2 linked regions of the Anolis sagrei genome follow. The protein of the gene in region 1 purifies or fractionates together with the protein of each later gene. This does not show direct contact. Links are inferred from orthologs where the notes say so. Each region holds a gene or a part of one and is shown in the gene's direction. Other genes may lie near its edges.

Region 1 (7,641 bases):
TTTAAAGATGGGCTCAAAGCCAACCTCAAAAACTGCGGCATAGACACCAAGAACTGGGAAGCCCTGGCCCTTGAGCGCTCTAACTGGAGGTCAGCTGTGACCAGCAGTGCTGCAGAATTCGAAGAGGCACAAATGTAGGGAGAAAGAGAGAAACATGCCAAGAGGAAGGTGCATCAAGCCAACCCTGACCGGGACTGCCTTCTGTCTGGAAACTGAGGTCCTTACTGTGGGAGAAAATGCGGATCAAGAAGAGGGCTGCACAGCTACCTATGGACCCACCGCCAAGACACCAGATCTGAAAGACAATCATCCTCGAACTATGAGGGATCGGGGATTGCCTAAGTAATTACACCTCCCTTCTTCCCCCCTTCCCTTATTTTCCCCACTTTGCATAGGCATTTCTCACATTAGCCCAGCATTCTCACCCCCTCAGATAATAAAAAGGGACTTGTTTATTCCCACCACCTCCAAATCCTGCGTATGTTTATCTTGCAACTGGCTCTACAGCATTGGGAGAAGTCATTCTGATTCCAATATACATCGAATCCAGGCGTGGATTGGCGTGTTTTTGTGGGGAGGGGGCTTTAGCTGGTCTAGCAGCTCAATAAGCTACATTATATGAGTACACATTGACCATATAATGCAGTTTCAAACTGTGGAGGCGAGGTCCCTTCAAGTATTGAAAAGCTGACTTCGCTCACCCACTTATTCCCCCTCCACCTCCCCACGCCCTCAATGTATTATTTAAGGTGGAATCAGGTGTCAAACAGGGTTGTGTTATTGCCCCAACGATCGTTATGATACTTCATCTTGTTGATGGGAAGCTTCCCACCAGAGTGGAAATCATCTATCAGACAGATGGCAAGCTATTTAACCTCAGCAGAATGAAAGCCAAAACCAAGGTCACAACAACATCTGTTATATAACTCCAATATGCTGATGACATGGTCATATGTGTGCATTCAGAAGACCTACAAGCCACTCTAAACACCTTTGCAGGAGCACAAGAGAAGCTTGGCCTTTCAATGTTGAGGAAACCAAAGTGCTCTTCCAGCAGTCACCAGCCAATCCCGCTCCAATGCCAGTAATACAACTGAATAGTGTAACATTAGAAACTGTTGACCATTTCCGCTACCTTGGCAGCCACCTCTCCACAAAAATCAACACTGACACTGAAATACAACACCGCCTGAGCTCTGCAGCATTTTTCCAAATGGAGCACAAAGTGTTTGAGGACCGGGACATCAGTAGGGAGACCAAGGTGCTTGTTTATATAGCCATTGTCCTCCCAACCCTGCTATACGCCTGAGAAATGTGGACTGTCTACAGACAGAACAGTATACAAAGAGCAACACTAAAAAAAACTGGGTAATTCCAGACAGGAAACAATCAGGGACAGCTAATCACCTCCCAACAGAGGATTCCCCCCAGGCAGGAAACAGCCATGCTTTGAAGCTGCAAGCCCATTCAGTGTTAATCAAGGTGGTCAATTGCAACATTTGCCCTTGCCTCAAGCAGACAGGAGTTCTTTCTCCCACCCTGGACATTCCCACAGATATATAAAACCCCACTTGTCTTGTTTCCAACAAACTCTTCGACCTCTGAGGATGCGTGCCATAGATGTGGGCAAAACATCAAGAGAGAATGCTTCTGAAACATGGCCATACAGCCCAGAATACCCACAAGTCTTTGTGTTATGTTTGCAACTATATGGTTGGGAGAAGTCATTCTGGTTCTGTCCGCCACACAAAAGAAAAATAAGTTGGGCATGTATTTGTAAATGAACAGAAATTATTATATGTATGGATGAGGCTTCAGGCAGAGGTTCCCACCCCGACAAATAGCAAAAAGGACTTGTTTATTCCCTACCCTTCCAAGACCTGTGTGATATGTTGAAACTGACACTATAGGTTAGAGTAAACAAGTCATTGTTTGGGTTGCTGTGAGTTTTCTGGGCTGTAAGGTCATGTTCCAGAAGCATTCTCTCCTGACATTTCACCCACATCTATGGCAGGCATCATCAGAGGTTGGAAACAAGGCAAGTGAGGTTTATATATCTGTGGAATGTCCACGGTGAGAGAAAGAACTCTTGTCTGCTTCAGGAAAATGTGAATGTTGCAATTGGCCATCTTGATTCATCATAGAATCAAAGAGTTGGAAGAGACCTTGTGGGCCATCCAGTCCAACCCCCTGCCAAGAAGCAAGAAAATCACACTGAAAGCACCCTCCATTCAGCCTCTGCTTAAAAGCCTCCAAAGCAGCCTCCACCACACTCCAGGCAGAGAGTTCCACTGCTGAACAGCTCTCACAGTCAGGAAGTTCTTCCTCATGTTCAGGTGGAATCTCCTTTCCTGTAGTTTGAATCCATTGTTCTGTGTCCTAGTCTCCTTTATTTATACATGGTCATCATATCTCCTCACAGCTTCTCTTCTTCAGGCTAAACATGCCCAGCTCTTTAAGCCGCTCTTCATAGGGCTTGTTCTCTAGGCCCTTGATCATTTTAGCATTGAATGGCCTTGCAGCTTCAAAGCCTTGGGGTTCTGGCCCAATTTACCTGCCAGAACGCATCTCCCCTTATGAATCATCTAGGACTTTAGGATCGTCTGGGGAGGCCCTGCTTGCAATCCCGCCCTCTTCACAAGTACGTTTGGCGGGGAAGAGTGACAGGGCCTTCTCTGTGGTGGCCCCTCGACTATGGAACACACTCCCTAAGGAGATTAGATTGGCTCCCTCACTCTTAATGTTTCTGAGACAAGTTAAGACATGGTTATGTGAGCAAGCGTTTACAAATGCAGAGTAACTAACACAGGAAATGGAATCACTCGACAATGGAACTTGGACAACGTTATTTAACTAGGAGACGCTGATGATAATGACACTGGTTTTTATTATTTTTATTGCTTCTATTGTGGTTTTATACTGTTTTAATGTTCAATCTGCATTTAGTTGTTATGTGTACTGACTTGTTGTAAACCGCCTTGAGTCACCGCTAAGGCTGAGAAAGGCAGTATACAAGTATAGTAAATAAATAAATACATAAATCCTTTGTTGGGAGGTGTTAGCTGGCCCTGATTGATTCATGTCTGGAAAATCCCCTGCTTTTTGAGTGTTACTCTTTCTTTATTGCCCAGATTTTAGAGTTTTTTAAATATTGGTAGCCATATTTTTTTTTTCATTTTCATGATTTCTTCCTTCCCGTTAGACTGTACTTTTGCTTGTGGATTTAAATGGTTTCTTGTCCAGCACAAAGAAATAAAGAAATGTTGGGTGTGGACTTGTGTGGAGAACCCCCCCCCCCCCCCCGTCAAATAATAAGGACTTGTCTATTCCCATCACCTCAAAGTCCTAACATTATAGGGTTGGGATAAGTCAAGGTTTCCAGCAAAGAAAAAGAAAAAAACAACAATGTGGACGTCTATCTGTATGGGGAGGGGGCTTTGGTGGGTTCAGTCCCCCAGACCCACATTCCTTCCCTCTTTTTCTTCTTGCCCACACCTCACAGACGAGGATGTGTTATCTTACACCTGACACTATATAGGGTTAGGCTCAGTTGGCGCAGCTATCCTTTTTCCTGTCCAACACAAAGAAAAGTCCGGTGTGTATGTATGTGGGAGGGGTCGGCTCCACAGACCCACGTTTTTTTTCTTTCTCCCCATTTCTCTTTCATGGCTCTGCCCTCACCTGTGTTGAAACTGGCAGGATAGGGTTGGGATAAGAAGCTATTCTGTTTCTGTCCAACACAAAGGGAGAAAAAAAGCACAAAGGAGGAAAAGCCGTGTGTGTGTGTGTGTGTATGGGTAGGGGGCTTTGATGGGTTGGTCCCTCTCTTTCGTGGCTTTGTCCACGCTTAGAAGTCCTACTACATGTGTTGTGTTGAAACTGACATTATAGGGTTAGGTGGAGTCATTGTTCCTAACACACAAAGAAAGAATAAAAGTCGGGTGTGTATATATGTGGGGAGAGTGTGTGTATGTATGGAGGGGCTTTGTTGGGACCCTCTTTCTCTCTTTCTTTCAGGGCTCAAGATAAACCCCTCCATACTCCCAGCCCTGTGTTGTGTTTTGAAACTAACATTATAGGGTTAGGTGGAGTCTTGTTCCTAACACTCGAGTCATTGCTTCCAGCACACAAAGAAAGAATAAAAGTCGGGTGTGTGGGGAGGGTGTATGTATGTATGTATGGAGGGGCTTTGTTGGGACCCTCTTTTTTCTCTTTCTTTCAGGGCTCAAGATAAACCCCTCCATACTCCCAGCCCTGTGTTGTGTTGAAACTAACATTATAGGGTTAGGTGGAGTCATTGTTCCTAACACCCAAGTCATTGCTTCTAACACACAAAGAAAGAATAAAAGTCGGGTGTGTGTGTATGTATATATGGAGGGGCTTTGTTGGGACCCTCTTTTTCTCTTTCTTTCAGGACTCAAGATAAACTCCTCCATTCTCCCACCCTTTTTGCTCAGGGGGAGCAAAGAAAACAACAATAACAACAAAATAAATAAATGGTGGGCGTTTGCTTCGTCCAAAAGGGCTTGGGACTGAGCTGGAGCCGGTGTTTTCCCATTGGTCCGTGCGGCCGGCAAAGAGAGAGAGAGAGAGAGAAAGAAAGAGAGAGACAGTGAGGAGGAGGAAGAGGAGGAGGAGGAGGAAAAGAGGTGGTGAAGCTGCCAGCAGCCGCCAAGCACAAGGCGAGGCGCGCGCACAAGGCCAGCCGCGGCGGCGCACAAGGCGCGCGCACGGAGGAGGCAGCAGCAGCAGAGAGAGAGACACACACACCGAGAGAGAAGAAGAAGAAGCAGGGGCTGCTGCTATTTGCTACGGTATTGTTATCCTTTCTACCCACGGAGGAGGGGAAGGAAGCGAGGCGAGGAAGTGGAGACGGAGGCAAGCATGCAGCAGAAACAGCAGCAGAGCCGGTGCCGGAGAGGCAGCAGCGCCAAGGCGCACTGAAAAGGAGGGAAGAAGGGAGGGAGGGAGGAAAAAAAGGAAGCCAGCTCGTCGCTCTGCAGAAGGAAGAAGAGCAAGGAGAAAGGATCTTATTATCGCCCGTGGAATATACCCAGCAGCGCCTGTGTTGATCTCCTTCCTCGGCCCTCCTCCTCCTCCTCCTGCTGCGCCGCCTTTTGTGCGTGGAATAAGGCCCCCCTCGAAGTGCCGGGAGGAGACTCCATCACCCGAAGGAAGGAAGACCCTCGCCCCGTGGACTTTTCCTCCCTCCTCCGTGGGTCCCTCTCCCCTCCTCTCCCTCGCCTCCATGTGCCGGATAGCGGGAGCCGCGCCGCCGAGGCGGAGGATCCTGCCGCCGCTTCTCTTGATGGTGCTGGCGGCCTTGCAGCAGGTAAAGAAGGGGAAGGGAAGGGAGGGAGGGAGGAAGGGAAGAAGGAGCGGGCTCGGGGCGCTTTTGTTCTTGGCCATCTCCCGGCGAAGGGCGGTGGCGGACCCCCGTTGCCCCGCAGGCGAAGCCGGGCCTGCTTGCTTCCTTGCTTGCTTGGCTGGGGACGGATCCGAGGGGGAACAATGGGGGAGAGTTGGGGACTGGAGGGAGCAGACCCTCCCAGGCTGCCTTTGGTTCGCATGGAGATGGAGACAGAGAGAGAAATAGAGAGAGAGGATCCCTCTCTTCTGTCCTTGAGGAGCAGGTGGATGCTCATCACCATAATAGAGGTAGTTCTGCAGTTTGTGGCCACTTTAAGGCTGTGGAGTCATGGGAGTTGTAGTTTCACGAGGTCTTTCGCCCTCTCTACCGAGCAGTGCAAAGTACTCCTCCATAGCAATGAGCCCTGGGAGCTAAACTGCGTTCGTGCCACAGTGTAGACGCATCCTCTGCCCGCAAAGGGTTACGGCGGGAAGTTGGCGCGCCGAAAGGGAGGGGGTCTTCCTCGCGTGGAGTGGAAAGACCCTTTGCCTTTCCACTCCACAGTGGAAAGTGGGGTGGGGATGGAAAGAAGTGGGGAGCTCACGGTGCCATTACGAAGGAGCGTGGGAAAGGGGTCGAAGAGGCCACGCAGAGTTCCCTCGGGCAGGTCGGGCCCCTTCCCCTCCTGGAGAGCAGCCAGCCAGGTAGTGGCACCCACGCAGTGTCCTCGCGTGAGTTGCTCGAGGCTGGAAAACCTTTGCAAGAAAGAGAAGTGTGACTCGGGGTCTCTTAAGTGACTATGGACTTCATCACAGTAGAGATTGAATCCACTTTAAATCCACGCGGGACGGACCCACTCAGGGGAGAGCTCCCCTGGGTGTGAGGGGTCTCCAGGCACACTATTCCCATGCTCCGTGGGGGACGTTACTTCTCTCCTTTGGCTCCAACACATTCTCCGGGACGCTGCCACGAGAATCGTGGAATCCGCGCAGTATGACCCTACTTTAAGTGCTGTGGCACCATGGGAGTTGTAGTTTGGCGAGGCAGCAGCACTCCTCCTTTGGCAGAGGAGACTAAAGACTACCTTGCTTCCGCAGCATTGAGCCTTAGCAGTCCAAAGCGGGGTCAAACTGCATTACTTCTACAGTGTAGAGCTGCACCCACGGCTGCCCCTTTTGGGCGGGGGAAGAAGTGCTCCCCGGAGCGGCCCTTTCCTCGGGCCTGGAGCAGAAGAGCGGCGGCGGGGCTGAGCCTTTGCCTGGCCCGTTAATCCCTTCCCGGGAAGAATTTAATCAGCCTCCCCCGCTCGCCTCCTGCTTGCTGCTCTCTCTCCTCCTCCTCCTCCTCCTCCTCCTCCCGCGGCGGGGATTTCCATTGGGGCGGGCGAGCGCGCGCCCCTTCCCTCCCTGCCTCTCTCTCTCTCTGTTTCCAGGCCTTTCCTCTCGCGCGCCCAACAGGGGGCGCCAAAGGAGGGCCGTCGCCATAGCAGAAAGCGGGGCCTACACATCCCAAAGCCAACAGATTCCCCCATTTAATCTTGGGTCAAACCTAGTTAAGATTGGGCAAGGAGACCAATTCATATCATTATGGTCTCCATTTTGGAGCGAGGCATGGCAAAAGCTCCTTGCCCAAGGGAACTCGTGTTTAGAGGGGAGCTATACACAGCAATTCAGAAAGAATTGCCAACTGCCCCAGGATTTCTTGTTCTTGTCCAGTAAACAAACATGGCCACTGCTTGCCTGAGTCTGCAACTGTGGGCCCTTCCACACAGTCCTATATCAAGGCAGGAAATCCCACATCTGAGTGTGGACTCAGGCCCCTTCCACACAGCCCTATATCACAGAATATCAAGGCAAAAAATCCCACATTATCTGAGTGTGGACTCAGGGCCTCTCCACACAGTCCTATATCCCAGAACATCAAGGTCAGGAAATCCCACATTATCTGAATGTGGACTCAGGGCCCTTCACGCAGCTTTATATGCCAGAATATCAAGGCAGGAAATCCCACATTATCTGAGTATGGACTCAGGGCCCTTCCACACAGTCCTATATCCCAGAACATCAAGGCAGGAAATCCCACATTATCTGAGTGTGAACTCATGGCCCTTCCACACAGTCCTATATCCCAGAACATCAGGGTCAGGAAATCCCACATTATCTGAGTGTACACTTAGGGCCCCTCCACACAGCCCTATATCCCTGAATATGAAGGTCAGGAAATCCCACATTATCTGAGTGTGGACTCGGGCCCCCTCCACACAGTCCTATATCCCAGATTATCAAGGCAGG
Region 2 (7,628 bases), on another chromosome or scaffold:
TTGCAGATCAATCTTTTCCAGCAAGTGTATTCAGATGTATTGTCGAAGGCTTTCATGGCTGGAGGATGCTTGCCACAGATGTAGGCGAAATGTCAGGAGAGAATGCTTCTAGAACATGGCCATACAGCCCGAAAACCCTAAAACAACCCAGGGTATTCAGATGGTTTTTAAATTACAAGTGTTAAAATGCTGACTTTAATATGTATGCTTTTAAAACGGATTGTGTACTTTAATTGGTATTAATGTTTTTAACTCATAAGGAGAGGTGGGCAAGAAATAATAATAAAAATGAGAATAATAATTCTGTTAAATGTTCTTGAAGTATACATATTGCCAGTTTTATAGGAAAAGTTGTATAACATTGAATGTTACAGAAATTATGCACATGCAGTGATCAATCCTGAAGCTCAGTTACCCACCAGTTTCAATGCCACACTTACAATAAGAGAATCTCAAAATACTGGGATCTGCAAAGATACATTTCAGGAAACTTTTTATCACAGGGTTGCTGTGAGTTTCGGAAGTTCCAGAAGCATTCTCTCCTGATGTTTCACCCACATCTATGGCAAGCATCCTCAGATGCTTTTTATCACCACCAACAAGCCTTTTGTAAAACGAATGGGTTTTAATAGCTCTTTCAAGAGGATAACGTTCCCAGAAACTTTGCATTACAAGAGGGACAGCTCACAACAATACAATGCTATTGGGAAAATGCATTTTATCTCCCAGCGACTTTCAGGGTTACAGCTGAGCAATCAAGAGGGAACAATGAAGGGTGGGGAAAGATGATATACTGTACTCACCCTTGCTATTCGAAAGTCCTGATACAGTGCTTTAATCCTGTTAACCCTGGTTTGTGATGACAGCTTTCCTAGCTTATATTACAGGAATGTACAAAGTTCATGCTAAAGTGGTGAAATGAGCTCCAAATGCAATTAAAATTAGGATGTCTTCTCAAGCTGTCCTCGGTAAAAGTTATATAAATAATTATTATTAAATAACTGGACAAAATTGAACAAAAGTGAGTCGAAGTGGGCATACATGTCACCCTTGAATCCAAGCCACCCACAATATGGCTATAAGCCTCTTCTCAGTAGACTTAAATCAAGGAAAACTTTCATGAGAACCACCACTCCTCTAAACATTTCTCCAGCAACAAGAAGAATGCTCTTCCTCAGTTATAACTTTTGGTAGCCTGACCATATTTTGTTGTTTGGCCATATGTGCTCTACTTTTCATCCGTGAAACATTGGGAGGATATGGTGTTATGGTCTGAGTGTTGGGCTAGGACTCCAGGAAACCAGAGTTTGAATCCCTGCTCAGCTGTAGCAATCCATTGGGTGATCTTGGGCCTCAGAGAAAGGCAAAAGCAAACTTGACCAAGAAAAATGTACAATAGAGTTGCCCAAGTAGAAACAAACCGGAAGCCATGTAACAACCTGAAAGCAAAAATATGTATATCTCAAGCTTTCTTTTCAAATGACCAAGGCACAAAAAACCTTGATGGTGTTCCATTTTGAATTACCAGGTTGTTGTTTACTTTCAAGGTGTTTCCAACTCCCTGAAAGGGAACCCACCATGGGGCTTTCCCAGCAAGAGTCATTCAGCGGGGGTTTGCCATTGTCTTCCTCGGAGGTTATACCCAAAGTGACCTAGTGGGTTTCTGTGGCGACACACAGAAAACAGAACACCACAGTGCTCCTACTTCCTGTACTTGCCCATAAATTTAGACAACAAGATGATATTTCGTGTTTTATAAATGCAAAATTAAAATTACCTGATACCAAAACAAAGAATATGAACAGAAATAAAAGAAGAACATAAAAAAGAGGATAGGTCTCCTGCAACTTAGCAAAGGTCAAGGTAAAGGTTTTCTTCTGACATTCAGTCCAGTAGTGTCCGACTCAGGGGGTTGGTGCTCGTCTCCATTTCTAAGCCGAAGAGCCGGCATTGTCCGTAGACACCTCCAAGGTCATGTGACCTGCATGACTGCATGGAGTGCGGTTACCTTCCCGCTGGAGCAGTACCTATTGACCTTTTCACATTTGCATGTTTTTGAACTGCTAGGTTGGGAGAAGCTGGGACTGACAGCAGAAGCTCATGCTGCTCCACAGATTTGAACCTGCAACCTTTCGGTCAACAAGTTTAGCAGCTCAGCAGTTTAACCCACTATGCCACTGGGGGCTCCAACATATTGCATATAAGAAGGTGCTTCAGCATGCATAACTTGCATGACAAAAACATGGGCTAAAAAATCCTGTGCAACTATTGAAGTTGCAACACTTTTGTTTTCCTTTGTATCTGTAAGCCCTATATAGCTGAAGAACCTCCTATGAAATGTATGGAGTCACCATTAATCGATGGGTGACAAACACTGTTCATTCTTGGGAGCCAAAATGAAAAATATCTCAGCAAGTATTCCAAATATACTTGTCTCATTACTGACTATATATCTATCTGTCTATATATCAATAGAAAAGTGGTGTGGGGAAGGTGGGGAAGGTAAATTGCTCATTGTAATCTTGAATATATTTTCATAATAAGATGCAAAATAAAGCCTGCCAGTTGCTGTCCATTAACAATGCTTCTCAATTCTAATCAAGACTTGATTGCACATCACAAATATGCTGCACGATGCTGTCTCTAAATCTGAATGCATTTATAAAAGTAATAATGTAAAGGCTGTAGAAATCTAAACTTATGTTCCTTTTGTTACAGGCAGTGTAGCATCCTCGTTTCTTTCCTTCCTAAAATCAAGGATACAAAGGAATAAAAATGTGGTGGTCCTGTAAGAAAGCCAGAATAAATAAACATTGGGATTAAAATTAATAGGATGTTAGTTCGTATTTTAAAAGCTGGGCTCAAATGAAATCAGAATTAGTATTGTTGGGGATTAATAATAACAACAACAACAATAATAATGATTTTGTGATATGAAATCCAGAATATATATCTCGTTTGCTGTGTCATACTGTGTTTTTGTGTCAGTGGCGTAGTGGGTTAAACCACTGAGCTGCAAAACTTGTTGACTGAAAGGTCGCAGGTTTGAATCCAGGGAGTGGCGTGAGCTTCCGCTGTCAGCCCCAGTTTCTGCCAATCTAGCAGTTCAAAAACATGCAAATGTGAGTAGATTAATAGGTACCACTCTGGCGGGAAGGTGACAGCACTCCATGCAGTCATGCCGGCCACATGATCTTGGAGGTGTCTACGGACAATGCCAGCTCTTCAGCTTAGAAATGGAGATGAGCACCAACCTCCAGAGTCGGGCATGACTGGACTTAATGTCAGGGGACAACCTTTACCTATAATAATAATAATAATACCTATAATATTTCTGGGATACAGGGTTGTCCGGAAGGGCCCTGGGTTATCTGAATCCACACAGATGTAGTGTTTACTGCCTTGATATTCTGGGATATAGGGCTGTGTGGAAGGGCCGGGTGTCTATGCTTGATCTACACTGTAGAAAGGATGCAGTTTGACACCAACTACAACTGTTGTGGCTTAATGCTATGGAAGTTGTAGCTTGGTGGGGCACCCCAGTTTTTGGCTGAGCAGGTGAGAAGCCTTGCAACACTACTAACCCCGGGATTCCATAGCAATGAGCCATGGCAGTCAAAGTGGTGTCGAACTGCATTAATTCTAGTGTAGCTAGCTACACAGTCAGAAGAACTTCCTGACTGTGAGAGCTGTTCGGCAGTGGAACTCCCTGCCCCAGAGTGTGGTGGAGGCTCCTTCTTTGAAGGCTTTTAAGCAGAGGCTGGATGGCCATCTGTCGGGGGTGCTTTGAATGCCATTTTTGTGCTTCTTGGCAGAGGGTTGGACTGGATGGCCCACGAGGTCTTTTCCAATTCTATGATTCTATGGCTCCTACAGTTCATGGCTGTGGAAAGGAGATTCCACCTGAACATTAGGAAGAACTTCCTGACTGTGAGACCTGTTCAGCAGCGGAACTCTCTGCCCTGGAGTGTGGTGGAGGCTCCTTCTTTGGAGGCTTTTGAGCAGAGGCTGGATGGCCATCTGTCAGGAGTGCTTTGAATACAATTTTCCTGCTTCTTGGCAAAAGGGGTTGGACTGGATGGCCCACGAGATCTCTTCCAACTCTGGGATTCTGTAATTCTAAGAACTTCCTGACTGTAAGAGCTGTTCAACAGTGGAACTCTCTGCCCCGGAGTGTGGTGGAGGCTCCTTTTAAACAGTGGCTGGATGGCCATCTGTCAGGGGTGCGTTGAATGCAATTTTCCGGCTTCTTGGCAGAAAGGGGTTGGACTGGTTGGCCCAGCTCTATCATTCTCTGATTCTACCCCTGAATGGGAAGAAACGACACCCATTCCCCATTGAAAGAAGTTTTCCTTCCTTTGGGATTTGCCAGGAACATAGATGTCTTTTGTTTTACAGCCTTTGCAGAAAGAAGTTGCCCCTTGCCATTCCCCCTTCTTTCCTTTTTCTTTTCTGGGTGAGTCCTGTCCCATTTCCCTCTCTCCCTTCCTCCCCCCCTCAAATGCTACAATGGTATCTCCTATTGGACGGCGGGCTCCCTGATTGATGCCTGCTTCCCATTGGAGCCGGGCGGGAGCTGACATCACTCCGGGAAAGAGGGGGGTCCGGTCCTCCCTCCCCTCCCCTCCCTCCCCTCCCTCTTTGCCTCGCCTTTGGCTGGGCGCAACTTCCATTTTAGGTGTTGGAGCCGAGCGAGGGAGGGAGGGAAGGAAGAAGGAAGGGGGAGAAGCAAAGAAAGAAAGAGAGCAAGCCAGCCAGGAGAGAAAAGTCCCGCAGGAAGAGGAGGAGGAGGAGGAGGAAGAGGAGCAGGCGGGGAGTCCTACATTACCTCCCCCCCTCCATTCCATTGTTTTTTTTCTCTCTCTTCCTTCTCTTTTAAGGAGTGGGGCGCTTTAAATTCTTTGTTAGGCAACTGCACGCGCGCGGGTCTTGCAAAGGCAAGCCCAGTCCAAGGGAAGTTGTCAAGAGAGGGAGAGGGAGCGCGAGACAACGGGAGCGCGCGCGCGCGCGAGAGAGAGCAGAGTTGGTGGCTCTCTGCGAAGAAAGGCAGCCTGGAAAACTCAAGACACACTCCTTTCTCTCTCTCTTGTTTCGAAACCTTAAGAAAGTTCCAACTCGATTCCTAAGCAGAAAAGGAAGGAAGGAAAGGAGAATAATAATTGGTCAAGGAAGACTAGAAGCAAGGAAGAGTTGGAGGAAGAGAAGGAAGCAAAGGTAAGCCAAGCGCCGAAGGGGAGGAGGGGGAAGTGCAAAGCCAACTCTGGCTGGATCTGCTCCAGCATAGAACTGCACCGGGTTGGAACTGCATTCCATGTTGAGTGTAGACCAAGGCAAGGGCAAACTTGGCCCCTCCAGGTGTTTTGGACTACAACTCCCGCAATTCCTAACAGCCGGTAGGCTGTTAGGAATTGCGGGAGTTGTAGTCCAAAACTCCTGGAGGGCCCAGGTTTGCTAAAAGGCATCAAGCTGAAATGGTATAAAGGGGGTGAAGTCTTGGCCAGCTTTTCAATAGAATCGTAAGAGTTGGAAAAGACCTCGTGGGGCATCCAGTCCAACCCCTTTCTGCCAAGAAGCAGGAAAATCACATTCAGAGCTCCCCAAACAGATGGCCATCCAGCTTCTGTTTAAAAGACTTCAAAGAAGGAGCCTCCACCACACTCCGGGGTAGAGAGTTCCACTGCTGAACAGCAGAGTGCATCTACATTGTGGAATGAATGCACTTCGAAACTACTTTCTTTGCCATGGTTCCTAAGACTGGTTGTTTCACCAAGGTCTTCACTCTTCTCTGCCAAGGAGGGCCACTCCCCAAACCTGGAGCCCCAATAGGTGGTGCCAAACTGTGTCCATTCCCCAGTGTAGATGCATGCACACAAAAGAAAGAGACGGTGCTGGTGGCTGAGCCTCCCTTTGGAGGGCGTGGGCCTCTTGGCCTCAGGCGAAGGGATGTGTGGGTCGCTCTCAGGGTCCTGGGGTGGAGCTTGGCTCACTGCATTGTGTCTTCTACCAACTTGCTTTGCGTCCCAAGCTTGGGAGTTTGGCTTAAGGTTTCTTAGAGCTGCCCCTCCTTGGTGGCCCATTGAGCTGAATGGCAAAGAGAGACCTGGCCTTAGGAGTCTCTAGTGCAGGCATGGGCCAATTTGGGCCCTCCAGGTGTTTTGGACTTCAACTCCCATCATTCCTAACAGCCTCAGGCCCCTTCCTTTTCCCCCTCGGCTGCTTAAAGGGCCTGAGTACAGGAATTGTAACAGTTGAAGTCCAAAACACCTGGAGGGCCCAAGTTCGCCTGCTCTAGTTAAAGGAGGGGTCATCTGCTGTGATTAATCTGGAGTTTATGTATCTCTTTAGTGTGTGTATGTGTATGTGTATTGCAGAATTAATGCAGTTTGACACCGCTTTAACTGCCATGGCTCAGTGCAACAGAATCCAAGGAGTTGTAGTTTGGTGTGGCACAAACATTGCATGGCAGAGAAGGCAGAAGACGCTTGTAAAACTACACATCCCACAACCCCATGACATTGGGCTGTAATGGCAGTGAAAGCCGTTTCAAATGGCATTCGATGAGCCCCTTGCAAAACTACACATCTCATGATCCCATAGCATTGGGCCATAATCCTATCGGCATTCAGTGCATCCCAGGATTGTGCCTTGAATCGTGGGAAGCCCTGGCAGCCTGGACTTATCTTGAGTCGTAGGGCCCTTCCGCAGAACCCTATATCCCAGAATATCAAGGTAGAAAATCCCACATTATCTGAGTGTGGACTCAGATAACCCAGTTCAAAGCAGATATTGTGGGATTTTCTGCCTTGATATTCTGGGATATAGTGCCGTGTGGAAAGGCCCTTATTTAGCTTCAAACATCTCTGTCCTGGAAAAGGTCCTTGTCTAGCATTCATCTGTATCTTTCTTGCCTGTGAGATCCACCCTGGATTGAGCTGTCTCTACTGATGTCCATCCAGTTTGTCTTCCTACTACCTCCCTAATGAAGGCTGTGTCTTCATTAGGGCACAGACCTGTCTTTGTTAAACTCCTGTTCAGTATGATGTGCTAATAAGGTCTGTGAATCTTTTCCCGGTGTTTGGAGGGTTAGGAGGTCCAGCTTGGTACAGAAAAAGCAGTCCCAGTTGATCCTGGATCCTATGGAAGATGTTCCTGCCAGACTAAGATACAAAGAGCAAGGGGACAATTGTCACAGCCTTTGCGTTCGTTCTACCACATAATGGTAGCAAATGGACAGAATTCCAAAAGGAGGGGAGAATTTAGAAGGCAGCTGTTGGAGGAGCCGGCTGCATTCCTGGACTGGCTCCTCCGTGCCATTTTGTGCCTTCTCTTGTTCCTCCGAGGTAGATAATGCTGTGGAATTGCGGTCATAACTCTCTCACTCTCCCAGGGCCATACCAAGCCCCTTACAAAACAGCTTGGCTGTCTCCCTCCGGAGCATGAACACAAAGGCACTTCAAAAAGGAGCAGGGGAGGGGTTTCATACCTTCGGGGTCTCACCACAGCACAGTGTGTGGTGGGCCAGTTCCGGCAGTCACCCGCCCGGCAGTATAATAATGTTTTCTGAAATGCTAGAGATTCTGCATTTCTGCCTGTGTGAAAGAAACAATCTCCTCCCTTCACACAAAGGA

Evidence for each region. Proteins that work in one complex are often made in the same cells at the same time.
Region 2: the proteins of CDH2 (region 1) and CTNND1 purify together in Homo sapiens (affinity purification with western blotting; 6 studies listed by BioGRID and IntAct, with this or other methods). This does not show direct contact. The link is inferred for Anolis sagrei from reciprocal best matches to the Homo sapiens genes CDH2 and CTNND1.

Annotation. Positions count from the first base shown.
Region 1 is NC_090024.1:57,239,954-57,247,594, forward strand, and holds the start of CDH2 (cadherin-2), read left to right. Parts: upstream 1-4,626; 5' UTR 4,627-5,248; coding exon 5,249-5,332; intron 5,333-7,641. UniProt on the Homo sapiens protein: Calcium-dependent cell adhesion protein; preferentially mediates homotypic cell-cell adhesion by dimerization with a CDH2 chain from another cell. Cadherins may thus contribute to the sorting of heterogeneous cell types.
Region 2 is NC_090021.1:234,377,105-234,384,732, forward strand, and holds the start of CTNND1 (catenin delta-1), read left to right. Parts: upstream 1-4,624; 5' UTR 4,625-5,214; intron 5,215-7,628. UniProt on the Homo sapiens protein: Key regulator of cell-cell adhesion that associates with and regulates the cell adhesion properties of both C-, E- and N-cadherins, being critical for their surface stability.